Stegostoma tigrinum: one gene and its partner. The protein of the gene in region 2 binds, or shares a complex with, the protein of the main gene of each other region. Links are inferred from orthologs where the notes say so. Each region holds a gene or a part of one and is shown on either strand. Other genes may lie near its edges.

The links. The genes of interacting proteins can lie anywhere in the genome.
Region 1: taf1c (region 2) and polr1h share a complex: the UniProt entries of both Homo sapiens proteins name them as parts of the pol I pre-initiation complex. The link is inferred for Stegostoma tigrinum from reciprocal best matches to the Homo sapiens genes TAF1C and POLR1H.

The regions. Positions count from the first base shown.
Region 1 is NC_081387.1:14,296,186-14,307,299, reverse strand, and holds the start of polr1h (DNA-directed RNA polymerase I subunit RPA12), read left to right. Parts: upstream 1-5,963; 5' UTR 5,964-6,045; coding exon 6,046-6,074; intron 6,075-9,521; coding exon 9,522-9,652; intron 9,653-11,114. Other genes in the region: pre-mRNA-splicing factor ATP-dependent RNA helicase DHX16, read left to right, coding at 2,679-2,807. UniProt on the Homo sapiens protein: Core component of RNA polymerase I (Pol I), a DNA-dependent RNA polymerase which synthesizes ribosomal RNA precursors using the four ribonucleoside triphosphates as substrates. Can mediate Pol I proofreading of the nascent RNA transcript.
Region 2 is NC_081354.1:138,936,131-138,947,049, reverse strand, and holds the start of taf1c (TATA box-binding protein-associated factor, RNA polymerase I, subunit C), read left to right. Parts: upstream 1-6,946; 5' UTR 6,947-7,079; coding exon 7,080-7,217; intron 7,218-10,574; coding exon 10,575-10,671; intron 10,672-10,919. UniProt on the Homo sapiens protein: Component of the transcription factor SL1/TIF-IB complex, which is involved in the assembly of the PIC (pre-initiation complex) during RNA polymerase I-dependent transcription.

The DNA of each region.
Region 1 (11,114 bases), on a different chromosome or scaffold from region 2:
CCATGTAAAGTGTATAGTGTCTCCACACACAACATCATCTCAGATATGAGGGTACCTCAGTACAGAGCAACTTAGGTACAAAGGAGTAAGAGAAACTGAATTAGTAAGTATTACCTTCATGGAATAAGGATAAAAATTAACACTAAAGTCCTCCTCAATTTAAACGAAAAATATACAGTCAGGAGTCACACGACACCAGGTTATAGTCCTACAGGTTTATTTGAAATCACAGGCTTTCAGAGTTTCATTCCACATGACGGAGGAGCGGCGCTCCACAAGTCTGTGATTTCAAATAAAGCTGTTGGACCAAAAGCTGGCGTTGTGTGACTTCTGACTTTCTCCACCAAAGGGCAACCACAGCACCTCCACAGAAGGATTAAGTTCTGTCAGGTCACAGTTTTAGAATCAGACATCTGTCATTTAAGATGGAGACGAGGATGAATTTCTTCTCCGCGAGGGGTGGTGAGTTGTAGAATTCTTTCCCAGATTTGCACCTGTTCAAGGCTGAGGATGACGGATTTATGGGAATCGAGTGTTACAGGGCAGGAAAGGAATTGAGGCGACTTTCAGATGGAACAGACTCGAGGCGCTGAATGGCCTTATCTTACCCCTGTCTGTTAGGCTCCTCCGACATGAAACGAGGCCATTGAGCCCAAGCAGCTGTGTAGACGGTTTGTGATTTTTTTATTCAAGAAGATGTGACTGAAGGGCAGTCATGGCGGCTCAGTGGTTAGGACTGCTGCCTCACAGTGCCAGGGACCTGGGTTCGATTCCACGCTCAGGCAACTGCCTGTGTGGAGTTTGCATGTTGTCCCCGTTTCTACGTGGGTTTCCTCCCACAGTCCAGAGATGTGCACGATAGGGTGGGCTGAGCTATGCTAAATTGCCCATAGTGTTCAGGGATGTGCAGGCTAGTTGGATTAACCATGGGAAATACAGGTGATTTGGGTCCGAGTGTGATGCTGTTCAGAGGGTCAATGTGGACTTGGTGGGCCGAGTGGCCTGCATCCACACTGTAGGAATTCTATGATGCAGGAAAACTCCCCTTCTTCAGGTTTGTGGCCACGTGGAACTTTTTATACCAGAGCTCTAAAGAAATAGGAGTGACTGTGGGCCACCTTTGACCTGCATTATCGTTCAGTGGGAGCGTCGATGCCTCCCATATCCTTTAACTCCCTGATCGATCAAAAATTCCCATGATTCCAGCCTCAAATGGATTCAGTGATGAAGTGTCCATTGCCCTGTGGGATAGCGAATTCCAAATATTCACAGTCCTTTGAATGAAGTCACTTCTTGTCGCCTCTGTCCTTAAAAAAAAGACGATTGGCCCCATGTATCGAGACTGCGTCCCCTTGTTTTGGGTTTCCCCATGTGGGAGAATCACGCTCGTACACTTCAGTGAGACACATTCCCTGGAGGCAACTCCCAGTAAAAGGGGGGACCTACAGCGGCAACCATTACTCTTGGAAGAGATTGTCAACCAGGATTGTATGACCGAGTCCATAGAGTGGGGCATGAGCCTGTGACTTTCCTGACTCTCTCACCAATACCGAGTGCTTGTCAACTGTGGACAATGCGCCACCTAATGATAGAGCCTGGCACTGCACCAACACTCAGTCAGACAGCACCAAAACAGACCCTTCAGTCCAACCAGTTCTTACCGATAAGTTTCCCCAAACTAAACCAGTACCTGTTGCCTGCGTTTGGCCCATATTGCTCTTAAACCTTTAACTAATCATGTATCTGTCCAGCATCTTTTAAATGCTGTAACTGTACCTGCTTCTACCACTTCCTGGAACCACCCTCTGTGTGAAAAGATTATCCCACATGTCCCTTTTAAAATTTTCTCCTCTCACCTTAAAAATATGCCCCCTAGTATTGAAAAATATCCCACCCTAGGGAAAAGACCTTTGCTCTTCACCTTATCTATGTCACTCATGATTTTGTAAACCTCTCTGAGCTCACCCCTCAACCTCCTATGTTCATGATAGAAGTCCCAGCCCATCCACCCTCTCCTTACAACTTAAACCTTCCAGTTCCGGTAACATCCTTATAAACATTTCCTGAACCCTCTCCAGCTTAATAATATCCTTCCTTATAACAGGGCGACCAGAACTGGACACGTTGTTCCAAAACTGACCTCACCAACATCCTGTACAACATCAATATGTTATCCCAAATCCTATACTCAGTGGTCTGCACAGTGAAGGCAAGCAAGCTGTGAATGCCTTATCAATCACCCTGTCCACATGTGACGCAACTTTCAGAAAATTATGCCCCTGAACTCCAAGGTGTCTCTGCTCGACAACACTATCCAAGGCCCTACCATTAACTGGTTAAATCTTGCCCTTGTTTATTTTACTAAAATGCAATATCTCGCATTCGTTCAAATTAAACTCCTTCTGCCATTTCCCAGCCCACTGGCCCAATTGATCAAGATCTCTCTGTAATCTTGGATAACTTTCACAGTCCAAAACCACCACTTCTGGAGTAATCTGCAAACCGTGTTTCCTATATTCTGATCTGTGCTGCTTTTTCTGTTCGGACTGTCAGCTCTACTCCTCTGTCTTTAGCCATCCACATGATGGCTTCCAGAGTGTCCCATCCATCAGCTGAGCCGTGGTGACCTTAAGACTCCATGCAGCACCCCTCAATCTCTCTGTCTGTCTGTCTCTCAGGTGATTGAGATCGACAGCAACTGGCTGTTGGAGGTGGCCCCGCATTATTACAAATCGAAGGAGCTGCAGGATGCGGCCAGCAAGAAGATGCCCAAGAAAGTGGGCAAGACCCGGGAGGAGCTCGGCTGAGGGTCCTGGGTGCGTATCAGACCTGCCATGCCAGGGGCATGAGCCATGCTGGCTGTGCACCCACTCTCCACAGCAGGGTGACAGCCCATCACCAGCATTCACTGCGATTGTGTCGGATTAAATGGAGCAAGTGCTGCCTGAGGGAAGGCCTTGAATCCCCTCGCATCGTGCAGGCACCTCGATGCCAAATTCAGATTGAATTGGAACCACTACCCACCCCCTCCCCGTTCCGTTCCCGGGAGGAATGTTACTCTGCGTTTTGGCCAGCAGCGAGATAGGTTTGGGTGAGAGCGGTGCCTCTCAGTTCATGATTGCCTTTGCCATTGCAGTGCCGTGACCACGGTGGATCTGAGGCACCGGGATCAATAACCAAGAAGGACAACACTCATGATTTCGACGCTGAAGCCACTTGTGTTGTCTGTAGCAGGAGCCTGGACACTCAGGAGCAGTGGCTCATTGTCAGAATTGCACGCATGAGGTCTGTACAGCACAAGCTGTCTGCGGCAGTCCGGACCTGCCGCTTGTTTCAAGTAAAGTTTTGGCACTTTTTTATACAAGAAGAAATACAGTTTGTCTTTCTGTCAGAGCTCTTGCTTTTTTGTTTGTCAGCATTTGTAATCTGTAAAATAGCGGTGCCAAGTGCTCCAGTCCCTTAATTTCCACGGCATCCTCTTGTCAGAGTATCTTTGTGACAGGACTGGGGATCTTTGTCACAGCCATCTATATTCAGAGTCTCACAGGTAGACCTCGTCACAGGGCCCTCACAGCCGACTGTACTCGGGGAATCTCACTGATGGACCCTATCACTGGGTCCCTGCGACAGTCTATATTCAGTATCTCACCGATGGACCCTATCACTGGGTCCCTGCGACAGTCTATATTCAGTATCTCACCGATGGACCTTATCACTGGGTCCCTGCGACAGTCTATATTCAGTGTCTCACCGATGGACCCTATCACTGGGTCCCTGCGACAGTCTATATTCAGTGTCTCACCGATGGACCCTATCACTGGGTCCCTGCGACAGTCTATATTCAGTATCTCACCGATGGACCCTATCACTGGGTCCCTGTGACAGTCTATATTCAGTGTCTCACCGATGGACCCTATCACTGGGTCCCTGCGACAGTCTATATTCAGTATCTCACCGATAGACCCTATCACTGGGTCCCTGCGACAGTCTATATTCAGTGTCTCACCGATGGACCCTATCACTGGGTCCCTGTGACAGTCGATATTCAGTGTCTCACCGATGGACCCTATCACTGGGTCCCTGTGACAGTCTATATTCAGTGTCTCACCGATGGACCCTATCACTGGGTCCCTGCGACAGTCTATATTCAGTATCTCACCGATGGACCCTATCACTGGGTCCCTGTGACAGTCGATATTCAGTGTCTCACCGATGGACCCTATCACTGGGTCCCTGTGACAGTCTATATTCAGTGTCTCACCGATGGACCCTATCACTGGGTCCCTGCGACAGTCTATATTCAGTATCTCACCGATGGACCCTATCACTGGGTCCCTGCGACAGTCTATATTCAGTATCTCACCGATGGACCCTATCACTGGGTCCCTGCGACAGTCTATATTCAGTGTCTCACCGATGGACCCTATCACTGGGTCCCTGTGACAGTCTATATTCAGTGTCTCACCGATGGACCCTATCACTGGGTCCCTGCGACAGTCTATATTCAGTGTCTCACCGATGGACCCTATCACTGGGTCCCTGCGACAGTCTATATTCAGTATCTCACCGATGGACCCTATCACTGGGTCCCTGTGACAGTCGATATTCAGTATCTCACCGATGGACCCTATCACTGGGTCCCTGTGACAGTCGATATTCAGTATCTCACCGATGGACCCTATCACTGGGTCCCTGTGACAGTCTATATTCAGTGTCTCACCGATGGACCCTATCACTGGGTCCCTGCGACAGTCTATATTCAGTGTCTCACCGATGGACCCTATCACTGGGTCCCTGCGACAGTCTATATTCAGTATCTCACCGATGGACCCTATCACTGGGTCCCTGTGACAGTCGATATTCAGTATCTCACCGATGGACCCTATCACTGGGTCCCTGTGACAGTCGATATTCAGTGTCTCACCGATGGGCCCTATCACTGGGTCCCTGCGACAGTCTATATTCAGTGTCTCACCGATGGACCCTATCACTGGGTCCCTGTGACAGTCGATATTCAGTATCTCACCGATGGACCCTATCACTGGGTCCCTGTGACAGTCTATATTCAGTGTCTCACCGATGGACCCTATCACTGGGTCCCTCTGGCAGGATCCTGTCACGATATCCCACTAATGTGAGTGGGAAACCTTCTCCTCTCTGTATCGAATACAGGAGAAGCAAGGCGGGAGGTACAGCTGAAGGATGCTGCTGAAGCGGGAATCGAACCCATGGTGAGGGTCAGTTATTCTGAGCCAAGTGCGATCCAACTGAGCTGCCTGAACCCCGCCCCCCTCCCCCGAAACACCAAGTCAGTGCATGATGAAGAGGTTCCTCCCCTCCACGGGGCGGCGCCGTCGCCATCGAGCGAAGATGTCCCTCCACTTCGTCAGGCGGCGCTGTCGGCGGAGGTTCCTCCCTTCTGTTTGTGTTGTGGGAGGATGGCTGGTCCGACCCGAGCAAGCAACCGGGCTGGAGGGTTCCTCTCCACCGCCGGGAGGCACTGTCCCGGGAGGTTCCAACTCACGCCGCCGCCATAACCGGGCTGGAGGTTTCCTCCTCAACACGGGGAGGCGCTGCCCCTGGAGGTTCAAACACCCACCTCCGCCATAACCGGGCTGGCGGTTTCCTCCTCACCGCCGGGAGGCGCTGAACGTGGAGGATCCAACCCCCGCCGCCGCCATAAACGGCCTGGCTGTTCCCCGGCTCCGCAGGGAGGCGGTGCCCCAGGAGGTCCAATCCCCTCATCGTCGCCGTGACCGGGTTGGCGGTACATCCCCACCACCGGGAGGCGGTGCCCCTGGAGGCGCCATCCCCTCATCGTCGCCGTGACCGGGTTGGCGGTACCTCCCCACCGCCGGGAGGCGCTGCTGGTGGCGGTAGCCTCCCCCCCCTACGCGTATGCGGCCGGAGGGCGATGTTTCCTGTTTCCAAGCCGGGAGCCTGAGCGCTAGGCCGCAGGTGATTCTGGACGTCGAGGCACGTTTACAGTTTCAGGGCCAGGCAGTAGCGGTCGGAGACGAACGGTGCGATTTTGTCTTAAATGGGATGGATGTCGTCGGAGACAGGAAAAAAAGGTTGCATTTGTGTAGCGCCTTTCGCAATTAAGAGCATTTGGAAGCACTTTCTGGATTCTGGAAGGATCGCAGACGAATGGGGATAAGTGGGATCTAACCAACAGTAAAAGTTAGGGCGAGAAACCAGGATTGATGCCGTTGTGTCGGATAATCAGTCCTCATCGGGAAGAATGGCGCAGCACGCTCGATGGGCTGAATGGCCTCCTGCTGCTGCTGTCCTTTCTATCTCTGTGCAAACTGTTTGTCTTTGTGAAGGGAGATTATTGTCGGTCAGGAAATCCGGGGGGTGCGGGGTGCTCCCCACTCCCCTCCCCGTGATCTTCATAAAAACCTCCTCTGTATCCACCCAAAAAGATTAACATCCCATTTAAATACTGACCCTCGGACAGTGCAGCACTCCCTCAGTACTGACCCTCTGACAGTGCGGCACTCCCTCAGTACTGACCCTCTGACAGTGCAGCACTCCCTCAGTACTGACCCTCTGACAGTGCGGCACTCCCTCAGTACTGACCCTCTGACAGTGCGGCACTCCCTCAGTACTGACCCTCTGACAGTGCGGCACTCCCTCAGTACTGACCCTCTGACAGTGCGGCACTCCCTCAGTACTGACCCTCTGACAGTGCGGCACTCCCTCAGTACTGACCCTCTGACAGTGCAGCACTCCCTCAGTACTGACCCTCTGACAGTGCGGCACTCCCTCAGTACTGACCCTCTGACAGTGTGGCACTCCCTCAGTACTGACCCTCTGACAGTGCGGCACTCCCTCAGTACTGACCCTCTGACAGTGCAGCACTCCCTCAGTACTGACCCTCTGACAGTGCGGCACTCCCTCAGTACTGACCCTCTGACAGTGCGGCACTCCCTCAGTACTGACCCTCTGACAGTGCGGCACTCCCTCAGTACTGACCCTCTGACAGTGCGGCACTCCCTCAGTACTGACCCTCTGACAGTGCGGCACTCCCTCAGTACTGACCCTCTGACAGTGCGGCACTCCCTCAGTACTGACCCTCTGACAGTGCGGCACTCCCTCAGTACTGACCCTCTGACAGTGCAGCACTCCCTCAGTACTGACCCTCTGACAGTGCGGCACTCCCTCAGTACTGACCCTCTGACAGTGCGGCACTCCCTCAGTACTGACCCTCTGACAGTGCGGCACTCCCTCAGTACTGACCCTCTGACAGTGCGGCACTCCCTCAGTACTGACCCTCTGACAGTGTGACACTCCCTCAGTACTGACCCTCTGACAGTGCGGCACTCCCTCAGTACTGACCCTCTGACAGTGCGGCACTCCCTCAGTACTGTCCCTCTGACAGTGCGGCACTCCCTCAGTACTGACCCTCTGACAGTGCAGCACTCCCTCAGTACTGACCCTCTGACAGTGCAGCACTCCCTCAGTACTGACCCTCTGACAGTGCGGCACTCCCTCAGTACTGATCCTCTGACAGTGCGGCACTCCCTCAGTACTGACCCTCTGACAGTGCGGCACTCCCTCAGTACTGTCCTTCTGACAGTGCAGCACTCCCTCAGTACTGACCCTCGGACAGTGCAGCACTCCCTCAGTACTGACCCTCTGACAGTGCGGCACTCCCTCAATACTGACCCTCTGACAGTGCGGCACTCCCTCAGTACTGATCCTCTGACAGTGCGGCACTCCCTCAGTACTGACCCTCTGACAGTGCGGCACTCCCTCAGTACTGACCCTCTGACAGTGCGGCACTCCCTCAATACTGACCCTCTGACAGTGCAGCACTCCCTCAGCACTGACCCTCTGACAGTGCGACACTCCCTCAGTACTGTCCCTCTGACAGTGCAGCACTCCCTCAGTACTGACCCTCGGACAGTGCGGCGCTCCCTCAGTACTGTCCCTCTGACAGTGCAGCACTCCCTCAGTACTGACCCTCGGACAGTGCAGCACTCCCTCAGTACTGACCCTCTGACAGTGCGGCACTCCCTCAATACTGACCCTCTGACAGTGCGGCACTCCCTCAGTACTGATCCTCTGACAGTGCGGCACTCCCTCAGTACTGACCCTCTGACAGTGCGGCACTCCCTCAGTACTGACCCTCTGACAGTGCGGCACTCCCTCAATACTGACCCTCTGACAGTGCAGCACTCCCTCAGCACTGACCCTCTGACAGTGCGACACTCCCTCAGTACTGACCCTCCGCCAGTGCGGCACTCCCTCAGTACAGACCCTCTGACAGTGCAGCACTCCCTCAGTACTGACCCTCTGACAGTGTGGCACTCCCTCAGTACTGACCCTCCGACAGTGCGACACTCCCTCAGTACTGACCCTCTGACAGTGCGGCGCTCCCTCAGTACTGACCCTCTGACAGTGCAGCACTCCCTCAGTACTGACCCTCTGGCAGCGCGGTCCACCTTCAGTACTGACCCTCTGACAGTGCAGCACTCCCTCTATACTGACCCTCTGACAGTGCGGCACTCCCTCAGTACTGACCCTCCGACAGTGCGGCACTCCCTCAGTACTGACCCTCCGAAGTGCGGCACTCCCTCAGTACTGACCCTCCGACAGTGCGGCACTCCCTCAGTACTGACCCTCCGACAGTGCGGCACTCCCTCAGTACTGACCCTCCGACAGTGCGGCACTCCCTCAGTACTGACCCTCCGACAGTGCGGCACTCCCTCAGTACTGACCCTCCGACAGTGCGGCACTCCCTCAGTACTGACCCTCCGACAGTGCGGCACTCCCTCAGTACTGACCCTCCGACAGTGCGGCACTCCCTCAGTACTGACCCTCCGACAGTGCGGCACTCCCTCAGTACTGACCCTCCGACAGTGCGGCACTCCCTCAGCTTTGGCCCTCTGACAGTGCGACACTCCCTCAGTACTGACCCTCTGACAGTGCGACACTCCCTCAGTACTGACCCTCCGACAGTGCGGCACTCCCTCAGTACTGCCCCTCTGACAGTGCGACACTCCCTCAGTACTGACCCTCTGACAGAGCGGCACTCCCTCAGTACTGACCCTCCGACAGTGCGGCACTCCCTGAGCTCTGGCCCTCTGCCAGTGCGACACTCCCTCAGCACTGACCCTCTGACAGTGCGACACTCCCTCAGTACTGACCCTCTGACAGTGCGGCACTCCCTCAGTACTGACCCTCCGACAGTGCGGCACTCCCTCAGTACTGACCCTCCGACAGTGCGGCACTCCCTCAATCCTGACCCTCCGGCAGTGCGGCGCTCCCTCAGTCTGTTTCAGCCTTCAATATACTCAGTTGCTCAGATCTGACAGCCATCTGCAATAAATAGATTCACTGCTGTCTGAGAGGACAAATTTCTCAGTGAGCCCACACTCTGAGATTATTCCATCTAATTCTGGACTTCCCCTGACAGTGAAGCGATCTCTCCACATCTACAACGCTGTGCCCTTTGTGAATCTTGTACGTGTTTTGATAAGGTCTCGCTCTTATTCTTCTCATCCCCACAGACCCGCAATGGCCGATTCTTGTTTCCAGTGTGACCCAGATTTCTGCCCCGAGTGTGGAACGATCCTGCCGCTCCCTGGGCCTGAGGACTACGTTGTGTGTCGCAAGTGTGATTTTAAAATCAGCGTGCACAGTGAGTGTCAGAGTGCATGAGGGTAAACAGTTCAGGAGCTGACGTTGCAATCAAACTCGACCTCTGCTAACATTCAACACATACTTGGGTTGGGGGTGGAGGAGTTTGCTGGTTGTCTAGGCAGAAATGCCCTTGAAATTTCCAGTGCATCCAAGGCAAGTCACTCATGAGGCTCGGTACCAGTCAGAGAAAACATGTTCCCTCCCCGACCACCACCACCACCATCACATCCGTAGGGCTGAGGAGAAAGCCTGAATTTTTTAAAACATTGTCCATTGCATGTGAGCATCACTGGCCAGGGTGATATCTGTTGTCCAAAAGGCAGTCAAGAGTCAGCGCCATCACTTTGAGTCTAGAGTAGGCCAGACCTGGTGAAGACGGCAGATTTTCTTCACTAAAGGGCATTAGTTAACCAGATGGGTTTTTGAGACAGTTGACAGTGATTTGCTGACATGGTTGCCATTTTTGTTCCAGATCAAGTGTTACCTGGTATCATGGTGCAATTTGTAAGGAAGTCCCCAGATTATTAGCCCAGGGTACTGGGCTACTCGTCTGGCCTCAACACCACTACAACACTGCCTCGCTCAGGCAGAGTGTCACTCTCAAGATAATACATGAAAAAGAGGTTGAATTGTGCTCTGACATGCACTGCAGTTCTAAAGGCCCCCCCCCCCCCCACTGCAAATACAGGATGGGTTAGACCAAAATAAGGCTGTCTACTCTTTTAAACTGAAACTAGACCTCACTGCTGTCGCAGACAGAAAGTAAAGCTATCTCAACGCTGTCCCCCGCAAACACTCCCAGAACAGGGGCAGCGTTGGGTTAGACACTGATTGAAGCTCCCTCCGCACTGTCTCCATCAAACACACCCAGGACATGTATGGGGCATTTCACCTGATGAAGGAGCAGCGCTCCAAAAGCTTCTGATTTCAGATAAACCTGTTGGACTATGGCCTGGTGTCTTGTGACTCCTGACTAAGTATTGCATGGATTTAGATACAGAGTGAAGCTCTCCGTCCACTTATAAACTGCAAGTAAATGCGATAAAACTGACACTACACTATCTCCGTCAGACGCTCTCAGGGAAAGTACAGCATGGTGTTAGATCCAGAGTGAAGCCTCTTCTACTCTTCTAAATGGAAAGTAAAGTTCCTTCTACTCTTTTTAAACTGAAAATTAAAGCCCCCTCAACACTGTCCCCATCAAACGCACCCAGGACATGTACAGCACAGGGTTAGTTAGAGAGTAAAGCTCCTCTATGTTTGTAAACTGAAAGTAAATCTTTCTCTACTCAGTTGGACAGCAAGTAAAGCTGTCCCGTCAAACGCTCCCAGGACAGGTCTCGACTGGATTCAATATGAGGACCTTGTTTGGGGTCGGGTTTGCCTTGTGGGCTGTGAATTTGACCGGCTGCGCTCAGCTGGAGGCTTGTGTGTGTGGCCCGGTCTGTGGTTGGACTCTA
Region 2 (10,919 bases):
CTTAAAAGACGCTAACGTGTCTGTGTCTACCACCTCCGCTGGCAACGTGTTCCAGGCACCCACCACCCTCTGGCTAAAGAACTTTCCCTGCATATCTCCCTTAAACTTTCCTCCTCTCACTTTGAACTCATGACCCCTAGTAATTGAGTCCTGCACTCTGGTGGGTGGGGGGGGGGGGGGGGGAAGCTTTTTGCTATCCACCCTGTCTATACCTCTCATGATTTTGTAGACTTCAATCAGGTCCCCCCTCAATCTCTGTCTTTCTAATGAAAATAATCCTAATCTATTCAACCTCTCTTCATAGCTAGCATCCTCCATACCAGGCAACATCCTGGTGAACCTCCTCTGCACCCTCTCCAAAACATCCACATCCTTTTGGTAATGTGGCAACCAGAACTGTACACAGTACTCCAATGTGGCCAAACCAAAGTCCTATACAACTGCAACATGACCTGCCAACTCTTGTACTCAATACCCTGCCCAATGAAGGAAAGCATGCCGTATGCCTTCTTGACCACCCTATTGACCTGCGTTGTCACCTTCAGGGAACAATGGACCTGAACACCCAGATCTCTCTGTTCATCAATTTTCCTCAGGACTTTTCCATTTACTGTATAATTCGCCCTTGAATTTGATCTTCCAAAATTCATCCCCTCGCATTTGCTCGGATTGAACTTCATCTGCCATTTATCTGCCCAACTCTCCAGTCTATCTATATTCTGCTGTAACCTCTGACAGTCCCCTTCACTATCAGCTACTTCACCAATCTTAGTATCATCAGCAAACTTGCTGATCAGACCACCTACACCTTTCTCCAGATCATTTACACATATCACAAACAACAGTGGTCCTAGCACAGATCCCTGTGGAACACCACTGGTTACAGGTCTCCAATTTGAGAAACTCCCTTCTGTGTCCTGTTGCCCAGCCAGTTTTTTATCCATCTAGCTAACACACCCTGGACCCCATGTGACTTCACTTTCTCCATCAGCCTGACATGGGAACCTTATCAAATGCCTTACTGAAGTCCATGTATACAGCCTTTCCCTCATCAATCAACTTTGTCACGTCCTCAAAGAATTCTATTAAGTTGGTAAGACATGACCTTCCCTGTACAAAACCATGTTGCCTATCACTGATAAGCCCATTTTCTTCCAAATGGGAATAGATCCTATCCCTTAGTATCTTCTCCAATAGCTTCCCTACCACTGACGTCAGGCTCACCGTTCGATAATTACCCGGATTATCCTTGCCGCCCTTTTTAAACAAGGGGACAACATTAGCAAGTCTCCAGTCCTCTGGGACCTCAGCCGTGTCTAAGGACACTGCAAAGATATCTGTTAGGGCCCCGGCTATTTCCTCTTGCTTCCCTCAGTAACCTGGGATAGATCCCATCCGGACCTGGGGACTTGCCCACCTTAATGTCTTTTAGGATACCCAACACTTCCTCCTTCCTGATGTCAACTTGACCTACACTAAGCAAACATCTATCCCTAATCTCAACATCCGTCATGTCCCTCTCCTTGGTGAATACCGATGCAAAGTACTCATTAAGATTGTCACCCATTTTCTCTGACTCAGCGCATAACTTTCCTTCTTTGTCCTTAAGTGGGCCAATCCTTTCTCTACTTACCCTCTTGCTCTTTATATATGAATAAAAGGCTTTGGGATTTTCCCAGCAATATCTCATGTCCTCTCTTAGCCCTCTTAATCCCTTTTTTCAGATTCGCTCTACATTCCGATATTCTTGCAAAGCTTTGTCTGTCTTCAGTCGCCTAGACCTCATGTATGCTTCCTTTTTTCTCTTGGCTAGTCTCACAATTTCACCTGTCATCCATGGTTCCTTAATCTTGCCATTTCTATTCCTCATTTTCACAGGAACATGTCTCTCCTGCAAGCTAATCAACCTCTCCTTAAAAGCCTCCCATATATCAAATGTGGATTTACCTTCAAACAGTTTCTCCCAATCTACATTCCTCAGATCCTGCCGAATCTTGGTATAGTCGGCCTTCCCCCAGTTTAGTACTCTTCCTTTAAGACCACTCCTATCCTTGTCCATGAATATTGTAAAACTTACGGAATTGTGGTCGCTATTTCCAAAGTAGTCCCCTACTGTAATATCAACTACCTGGCCAGGTTCATTCCACAGCACCAGGTCCAGTATGGCCCCTTCCCGAGTTGGACTACATACATACTGCTCTAGAAAACCATCCTGGACACACCTTACAAATTCTGCTCTGTCTTGACCCCTAACACTGAGTGAATCCCAGTCAATGTTGGGAAAATTAAAATCTCCCATCACCACCACCCTGTTTCTCCTACACCTTTCCATTATCTGTTCACATATTTGTACCTCTATCTCACACTCGCTGTTGGGAGGCCTGTAGTACAGCCCCAACATAGTTACTGCATCCTTCCTATTTCTGAGTTCTACCCATATTGCCTCACTGCTTGAGTCCTCCATGGGGCCCTCCTTCAGTGCAGCTGTGATATCGTCTGTGACCAGTAATGCAACTCCTCCACCCCTTTTACCTCCCTCTCTATCCCGCCTGAAGCATCGATATCCTGGGACAACAAGCTGCCAGTCATGCCCTTCCCTCAACCAAGTCTCAGTAATAGCAATAACATCATACTTCCAGATACCGATCCAAGCCCTAAGCTCATCTGCCTTATCTACTACACTTCTCGCATTAAAACAAATGCACCTCAGACCACCTGTCCTTTTGTGTTCATCATCCACTCCCTGACTACTATTCTCTTTAGTCACACTGACTCCATTATCTAGTTTCCTATAGGCTTTCATTACTACCTCTTTTCTGTCCAATATTTGGTTCCCACCCCCCCTGCCACATTAGTTTAAACCCTCCCCCACAGCATTAGCAAAAGCACCCCCAAGGACATTGGTTCCAGTCCGGTTCAGGTGTAGACCGTCCAATTTGTAATAGTCCCACCTTCCCCAGAACCAGTTCCAATGTCCCAAAAATCTGAACCCCTCCCTCCTGAACCATCTCTCAATCCGCTGCCCAAATAAATGAAGACCACTCCCGCTCGAGGTAAGCTTTTTAAAGTGGGGAAAAAAACCTTACCTTCCCGGCAGCCTCCTGGTGCTCTCTCTGTCTGGCTCTCTCGTAAGACTTTCCCTCCATACCAGGCAACATCCTAGTAAACCTCCTCTGCATCCTTTCCAAAGCTTCCACATCCTTCTTATATCTTCTACAGAACTGTACGCAATACTCCAAGTGCGGCCGCACCAGAGTTTTGTACAGCTGCAGCATAACCGCTTGGTTCCGGAATGCGATCCCTCTATTAATAAAAGCTAAAACACTGTATGCCTTCTTAACAGCCCTGTCAACCTGGAGTAGAGACCAGATTAACATTCCCTCAGTGATTTGGAAGTAGGTGAGCACTTTGGTGATAGCGATCACAATTCTGTTATGTTTACTTTAGTGATGGAAAGGGATGGGTGTATACCACTGGGCAAGAGTTATAGCTGCGGGAAAGGCAGGGGATGGGCACATTAGAAATGTGGAGCTTATTCAAGGAAAAGCTCCTGTGTGTCCTAGATAAGAACATATAGAACATAGAACATCACAGCACAGTACAGGCCCTTCGGCCCTTGATGTTGTGCCGACCTGTCTTATCGATCTGAAGCCCATCTAACCTACACTATTCCATGTACGTGCATATGCTCATCCAATGACGACTTAAATGTACCTAAAGTTAGCAAATCTACAGCCGTTGCAGGCAAAGCATTCCATTCCCTTACTACTCTCTGAGTGAAGAAGCTACCTCTGACATCTGTCCTATATCTTTCACCCCTCAATTTAAAGCTATGCCCTCTCGTGCTCGCCATCACCATCCTAGGAAAAAGGCTCTCCCTATCCACCCTATCTAACCCTCTGATTATTTGATATGTTTCAAATAAGTCACCTATCAACCTACTTCTCTCTCATGAAAACAGCCTCAAGTCCCTCAGCCTTTCCTCATAATACCTTCCCTCCATACCAGGCAACATCCTAGTAAATCTCCTATGCACCCTTTCCAAAGCTTCCACATCCTTCTTATAATGCGGTGACCAGAACTGTACGCAATACTCCAAGTGCGGCCGCACCAGAGTTTTGTACAGCTGCAGCATAACCTCTTGGTTCCGGAACTCGATCCCTCTATTAATAAAAGCTAAAACACTGTATGTCTTCTTAACAGCGCTGTCAACCTGGGTGGCAACTTTCAAGATCTGTGTACATGGACACCGAGATCTCTCTGCTCATCAACACTGCTAAGAATCTTACCATTAGCCCTGTACTTTGCCTTCCGGTTATTCCTACCAAAGTGCATCACCTCACACTTGTCTGCATTAAACTCCATTTGCCACCTCTCAGCCCAGCTCTGCAGCTTATCTATGTCTCTCTGCAACCTACAGCATCCTTTGTCACTATCCACAACTCCACCGACCTTAGTGTCGTCTGCAAATTTACTAACCCATCCTTCTACGCCCTCATCCAGGCCATTTATAAAAATGACAAACAGCAGTGGACCCAACACTGACCCTTGCGGTACACCACGAGTAACTGGTCTCTAGGATGAACGCTTCCCCATCAACTACCACCCTCTGTCTTCTTTCAGCAAGCCAATTTCTGATCCAAACTGCTATATCTCCCACAATCCCATTCCTCTGCAATTTGTACAATAGCCTACTGTGGGGAACCTTATCGAACGCCTTGCTGAAATCCATATACAACACATCAACCGGTTTACTCTCATCTACCTGTTTAGTCACCTTCTCAAAGAACTCAATAAGGTTTGTGAGGCACGACCTACCCTTCACAAAACTGTGCTGACTATCCCTAATCAATTTATTCTTTTCTAGATGATTATAAATCCTATCCCTTACAACCTTTTCCAACACTTTACCAACAACTGAGGTCAGGCTCACTGGTCTATAATTACCAGGGTTGTCTCTACTCCCCTTCTTGAACAGGGGAACCACATTTGCTATACTCCAGTCATCTGGCACTATTCCTGTAGACAATAAGTATGTACCTGTCAGGCAGGGAGGAAGCTGCAGAGCGCGGGAGCCTTTTTCCTAGGATGGTGACGGCGAGCATGAGGGGGCATAGCTTTAAATTGAGGGGTGAAAGATATAGGACAGATGTCAGAGGTAGTTTCTTCACTCAGAGAGTAGTAAGGGAATGGAACGCTTTGCCTGCAACGGTAGTAGATTTGCCAACTTTAAGTACATTTAAGATGTCATTGGATAAGCATATGGACGTACATGGAATAGTGTAGGTTAGATGGGCTTGAGATCGGTATGACAGGTCGGCACAACATCGAGGGCCGAAGGGCTTGTACTGTGCTGTAATGTTCTATGTAGATGCTGTTGAGATTTTCCAGCAACTTCTGTTTTTGTTTCCTAAGGATAACCCACCAAGCCTGCACACCCCTGCATGCTTTGGACAATTTAGCATGGCCAATCCATCTAACCTGCACATTTTTGGATTATGGGAGGAAATCTATGCCAAGGGGGGAGAATTTTCAAATTCCACACAAACCGTTGCCCAAAGCTGGAACTGAACCCAGATCTGTGGTGCCATGTGACAGCAGTGCTAACTGCTGAACCATTGTGCTATGAATTTTATACCCGTCAAAACTCCTTTTATTTGAGACTGACCTTGCAGTAGTTCAGAAATGTTCGTGCTGAACTGAATTCTGGATAATGAGAAAAACAATAGTAATTAGAGATTTGATAGTGCACAGTTGATTCTGTGGCTGCAAGAGAGACTCCAGGATTGTATCAGAGATAGTAAGAACTGCCGATGCTGGAGAATCTGAGATAACAAGGTGTAGGACTGGATGAACACAGCAGTTCAAGCAGCTTCAGAGGAGCAGGAAAGCCGATTGGACCTGAAATGTCAGATTTCCTGCTCTTAAGATGCTGCTTGGCCTGCTGCGTTCATCCAGCTCCACACCTCGTTAATTCAGGGAGCTAGGTAGTATACTGAAAAGTAGGATCTCTTAAAATAGTAATTTCAGGATTACTCCCCATGCGATGTGCTTCTCAGGCTAGGAACAGAGACATTACAATTCAATATGTAGCTAAAGATGCTGCTTGGCCTGTTGGGTTCGTCCAGCTCCACACTTTGTTATCGTTAAAGAACTGGTGTAGGGGGCTTGGGCTTCAGATAAGTGGGTCATTGGGATGCCTTCCAGGTAAGGGGAGACCTGAACAGGCAGGACAAATTGGACCTAAACTGGAGGGGCAACAATATCTTGGCAGGGAGGTTTAAACTAGTGTGGTGGGGCTATGATCTGGAGTAGCAAGTCAGTAAATATACAGGCTGGGGAAGGGCTTGAGTCAAAAGCAAATATAACGCAGAGGAAGACATAACAAAGTGTGGAGCTGGATGAACACAGCAGGTCAAGCAGCATCTTAGCAACTCCACACTTTGCAGATGCTTGAGAATCCAAGATAACAGTTCGCATTATCTCTGATACAATAACTCAGAGTAAGAGCAGTCAGGGACAGGTTGCGGAGCTCAGCGGAACTGGAGGCTTGGAGTGCATTTGCTTCGATGCAAGTTGTATAACAGGCAAGGCAAATAAACTGGATTAATGTATACAATTACGATCTTGTTGCAATCACAGAGATATGGTTGAAAGAGGGATAGGATTGGAAGCTTAACTTTCCAGTATATCGATGCTTTAGTCGAGACAGAGGCGGAAGCAATAGAGGTGGGGAGTTGCATTACTGGTTAAAGGATGCATCAGCTGTGTTCGGTTCAAGTCTAGACAGCCTGTGGTGCTCTCGGAACAAGCACACACCCACGGAGCGGCTTCTGCCGGAGGGCGTTCCGTTGCCCTGGGTAACGCAGGGAGCTCCACTTCACTCGCCCTCACCAACATGGCGTCCGCGAGCACCCACAGCAAAGTCGCGCGCTGCTGGGCTCCGCGGCGGGTCGAACAATTCGCCCGTGAAGGGCCCGCCCCCTCATTGTTGCATCCGCCGGAAGTCGGTCCTCGCTTCGGGCAGCACGCGCAGTCGGGTTTCGGTACGGGTGCCGTACGGGCTCAGCGACGGCGGCATGGAGAGCGCATTCCCGTACTCCCTTTATCCCAGCTTCTACAACTCCGGTCCCTCCGCTTGGAACCCCTGGGAGCCAGGGGGCTGGGGAGAGTATGAACATGTCCAGCCGTTCTGTGCGGAGGGCGGGGGCCAACAGGTGAGGGTCGAACTGCGGGAGCGGGAAACGCCGCCTCCCCTCCTGGGGAGCAGCTTTGGGGAGAGATGGGGGCAGTAACGGCTCGTTGCACCACCTCACGCTGGAACAACAAAGCAATCAAACATACTTGTACTGGGTCTCCCTCATGCTGGGGACGCCTCGCCGTTAATACTGAAGACTGCTTGCTAGGTTAGAGCAGCTGGAGAATCTGAGATAACGAGGTGTAGAGCTGGATGAACACAGCAGGCCAAACAACATCCATAAGACCTAGGAGTGTAAGTGAGGCCATTCGGCCCAACAATTCCACTCCGCCATTTAAACCATGGCTGATGGGCATTTCAACTCCACTTCCCTGCACTCTTCCCCCGTAGCCCTTGATTCCTTTTGAGATCAAGAATTTGTCGATCTCTGCCTCGAAGGCATCCAACGTCCCGGCCTCCACTGCACTCTGCGGCAATGAATTCCACAAGCCCACCATTCTCTGGCTGAAGAAATGTCATCTCATTTCAGTTTTAAATTTACCCCCTCTAATTTTAAGGCTGTGCCCATGGGTCCTAGTCTCCCTGCCTAACGGAAACAACTTCTTAGCATCCACCCCTTCTAAACCATACATTATCTTGTAAGTTTCTATTAGATTTCCCCTCAACCTTCTAAACTCTAATGAGTACCATCCCAGGATCCTTAGTCGTTCATCATATGCTAAACCTACCATTCCAGGCATCATCCATGTGAATCTCTGCTGGACACGCTCCAGGGCTAGTATGTCCTTTCTGAGGTGTGGGGCCCAAAATTGGACACATTTAACGTGGTTACGTGTTTCGTACATCTAAGTCATTGCAGTGTGGAGCTGGAGGAATGTCGACTCTCCTGCTCCTTTGATGCTGCCTGGCCTGCTGTGTTCCTCCAGCTCCACACTATTATGTTATCTCAGCCGTGATCTTGTTGAGTGGTAGAACAGGCTTGAGTGCAGAAAGGTAAATCCTGACCCCTATTTTCATAGATGGTGGAAGATGAGTCAAATTTTCAAGCAGTGGAAAGTGAAAATTACAAGAGGGCACCCCAGTTATGAGAAGGAATAGCTGCAGGGAAGGTAATACTAATCTATCAGAGGTAACAATGTGTGGGGCTGGATGAACACAGCAGGCCAAGCAGTGCTCCTAAGATGCTGCTTGGCATGCTGTGTTCATCCAGTTCCACAATTTGTTACCTTGGATTCTCCAGCATCTGCAGTTCCCACTTTCTCTGATCACAAATCTATCAGATATTTGTTTTGAGTTGAAAAGCATTTCATAAAATTAGATTCTACACAGGAACTTCAGATGAAATGTAGAGATAATCAGGTGAAACTTTGCTGTCTCAATAATATTTCTGCTCAAGGGGGAAGTTTGAGTTAGTTCTTTTTCAATCTTTTTATATCCCAGGAATGAAGGGCTTGTCATATGAAGAGCCAGAAGCCACATGATACCAGGTTATAGCCCAACAGGTTTACTTAAAACCACAAGCTTTTGGAGTGTAGCCCCTTCATCCGATGGTTCTGGTGTTGTGTGACTTCTGACTTTGCCCACCCCAATCCAACACAGGCACATCCATATCATACGAAGGGTGGGTTAAGGACTCTGGGTCTGTACTCGACGGAGGTTAGAAAGATGGGAGGAGATCTCATTGAAACCTAGAGAATGCCTAGAGACCTGTGTAGAACAAGTTTTGACTAGGGAATGGTCACAGTTTTTTTCCTATTCATTTGTGGGATGTGGGCATTGCTGGCTGGCCAGCATTTATTGCCTGTCCCTGGTTGCTCTTGAGAAGGTGGTGGTGATGATCTGTTTTCTTGAACTGCTGCAGTCCACATGCAGTGGGTTGACCAACAACGTTATTGGGGGGGAGTTCCAGGATTTTTGACTCAGCCAACAGTGAGGGAGCAGCAATATATTTCCTAGTCAGGATGAGGAGGAGCTTGGTAGGGTGGTCTCTGCCGCTGTCTTTTCTGGTGCCTGGGTCAATACCAGATGCTTCATACATTTTCATTTCATTGAGACTTTGTAGTGATTGGTACAACTGAATGGCTTGCTTGCCATTGCAGAGGGCAACTGAGAGTCAACCACATTGCTGTGGGGCTGGAGTCACATGTAGGCCAGACCAGGTGAGGATGATGGATTTCTTTCCCCCAAAGGGTATTAGTGAACCAGAAGGGTTTTTCTGACAATTGACAATGATTTCATGGTGATCAATGGGATTTGAACCTAGGTCTCCAGAACATTAGCTGACTGTCTGGGTTAATGGCTTTGAAATTGCTTCAGGCACACCAAAAACTACATCACCAATATATATTATCAGGAAAAGCAGGGGCCTCAATACCGAGCCCTGGGGATCTCCACTACAAGTCTTTCTCCAGCCCAAAAAATATCATTTCACCATTATTCCAGGTTTCCTTTCACCCATTCAATTTTGCATCCACTTTGCTACACACCCCTTTATTCCATGTCCTGTAAGTCTCTTCACATCTGTGGTGTGGCTCTGTATCAAGCACCTTGTGAAAGTCTGTGTACGCCATATCAACGACATTACCTCTTTGAACATTGTGTTACCACTTCAAATTGTCCAGTAAGTTGGATAAACACTATTTCCCAAGAAATCTGTACTGACACTTCCCAATGAACTTATCATTTTCCATGTGACTATTCATTCTAGCTTGAATAATTGTCTTTAGAAGTTACTCATCACTGAAGTTAAACTGACAGGTCTGTAATTGCTAGTAGGGTTAATGGCCTAGTAATAGTACCACTAAGCCATCGCCTACCCACTGTGAAGAGATGACCCTTTAGAATTGTATTGAGGAATTTCTTCAGCCAGAGGATGGTGAATCTGTGAAATTCATTGCTACAGAAGCCTGTGAAAGCCAAGCTATTTGAGTATATTTAAAACAGAAGACAGGTTCTTGATTTGTGACAGGATCAAGAGTTACAGGGAGAAGGCAGAAGAGTGGGGTTGAGAAACCTATCAGTCATGTTTGGATGGTGGAGCAGCCTTGATGGGCCAAATGGCCTAATTCTGCACTTTTATCTTATGATCTATAATGCTGAAAAGAGACTCTTTTAAAAATCATTTGGTCATACAATTTGCCTTTCCAATCAATGAGTATTCTTTTTCTTTTGTAGTATAAATTATTGTGATCATTTGGTGTTCTTGCACTCGTCCTGACAAATGCAGGATGAAAATCGTCAGCAATGCACCGTTTTTCAGCAAAATTCAAGTCCTCACGACAAAGTGACTGGTTAAATCTTTTTAAAGTTTCATTTTCTTTGAATCATGGCATTTGAATGTTTCTTTTTGTATATACTCACACAACTGTTATTGCAGGAAACTGAATTAAAATGGTCAGCCCTGAAAAGTCTGAAGCGAGAGAGTTGGGAGCCATTGGAACCCATTGCAGTTCCACTACTTCCAGCCAAAACAGGTAATGCAAAGTTGGTTTCATTAGTCAGCTAAGTTGACAGTAACATTATGTAAGAAACGAGTGAGGGCTCTTGGATGAACAGCATTATTGTGAAACACTTTGACATTTAGCTTATCTTTTCATCCCCACTGTTTTACTCCTCTCGTTTGCCATATAGCTTTCCACCATGTGATAAGTTGTTTATAGTGGGAACTGAAGCAAAAGGCAGCAGGTGCTGACTATCTGAGAATTAAATAGAGCGCAAAAAG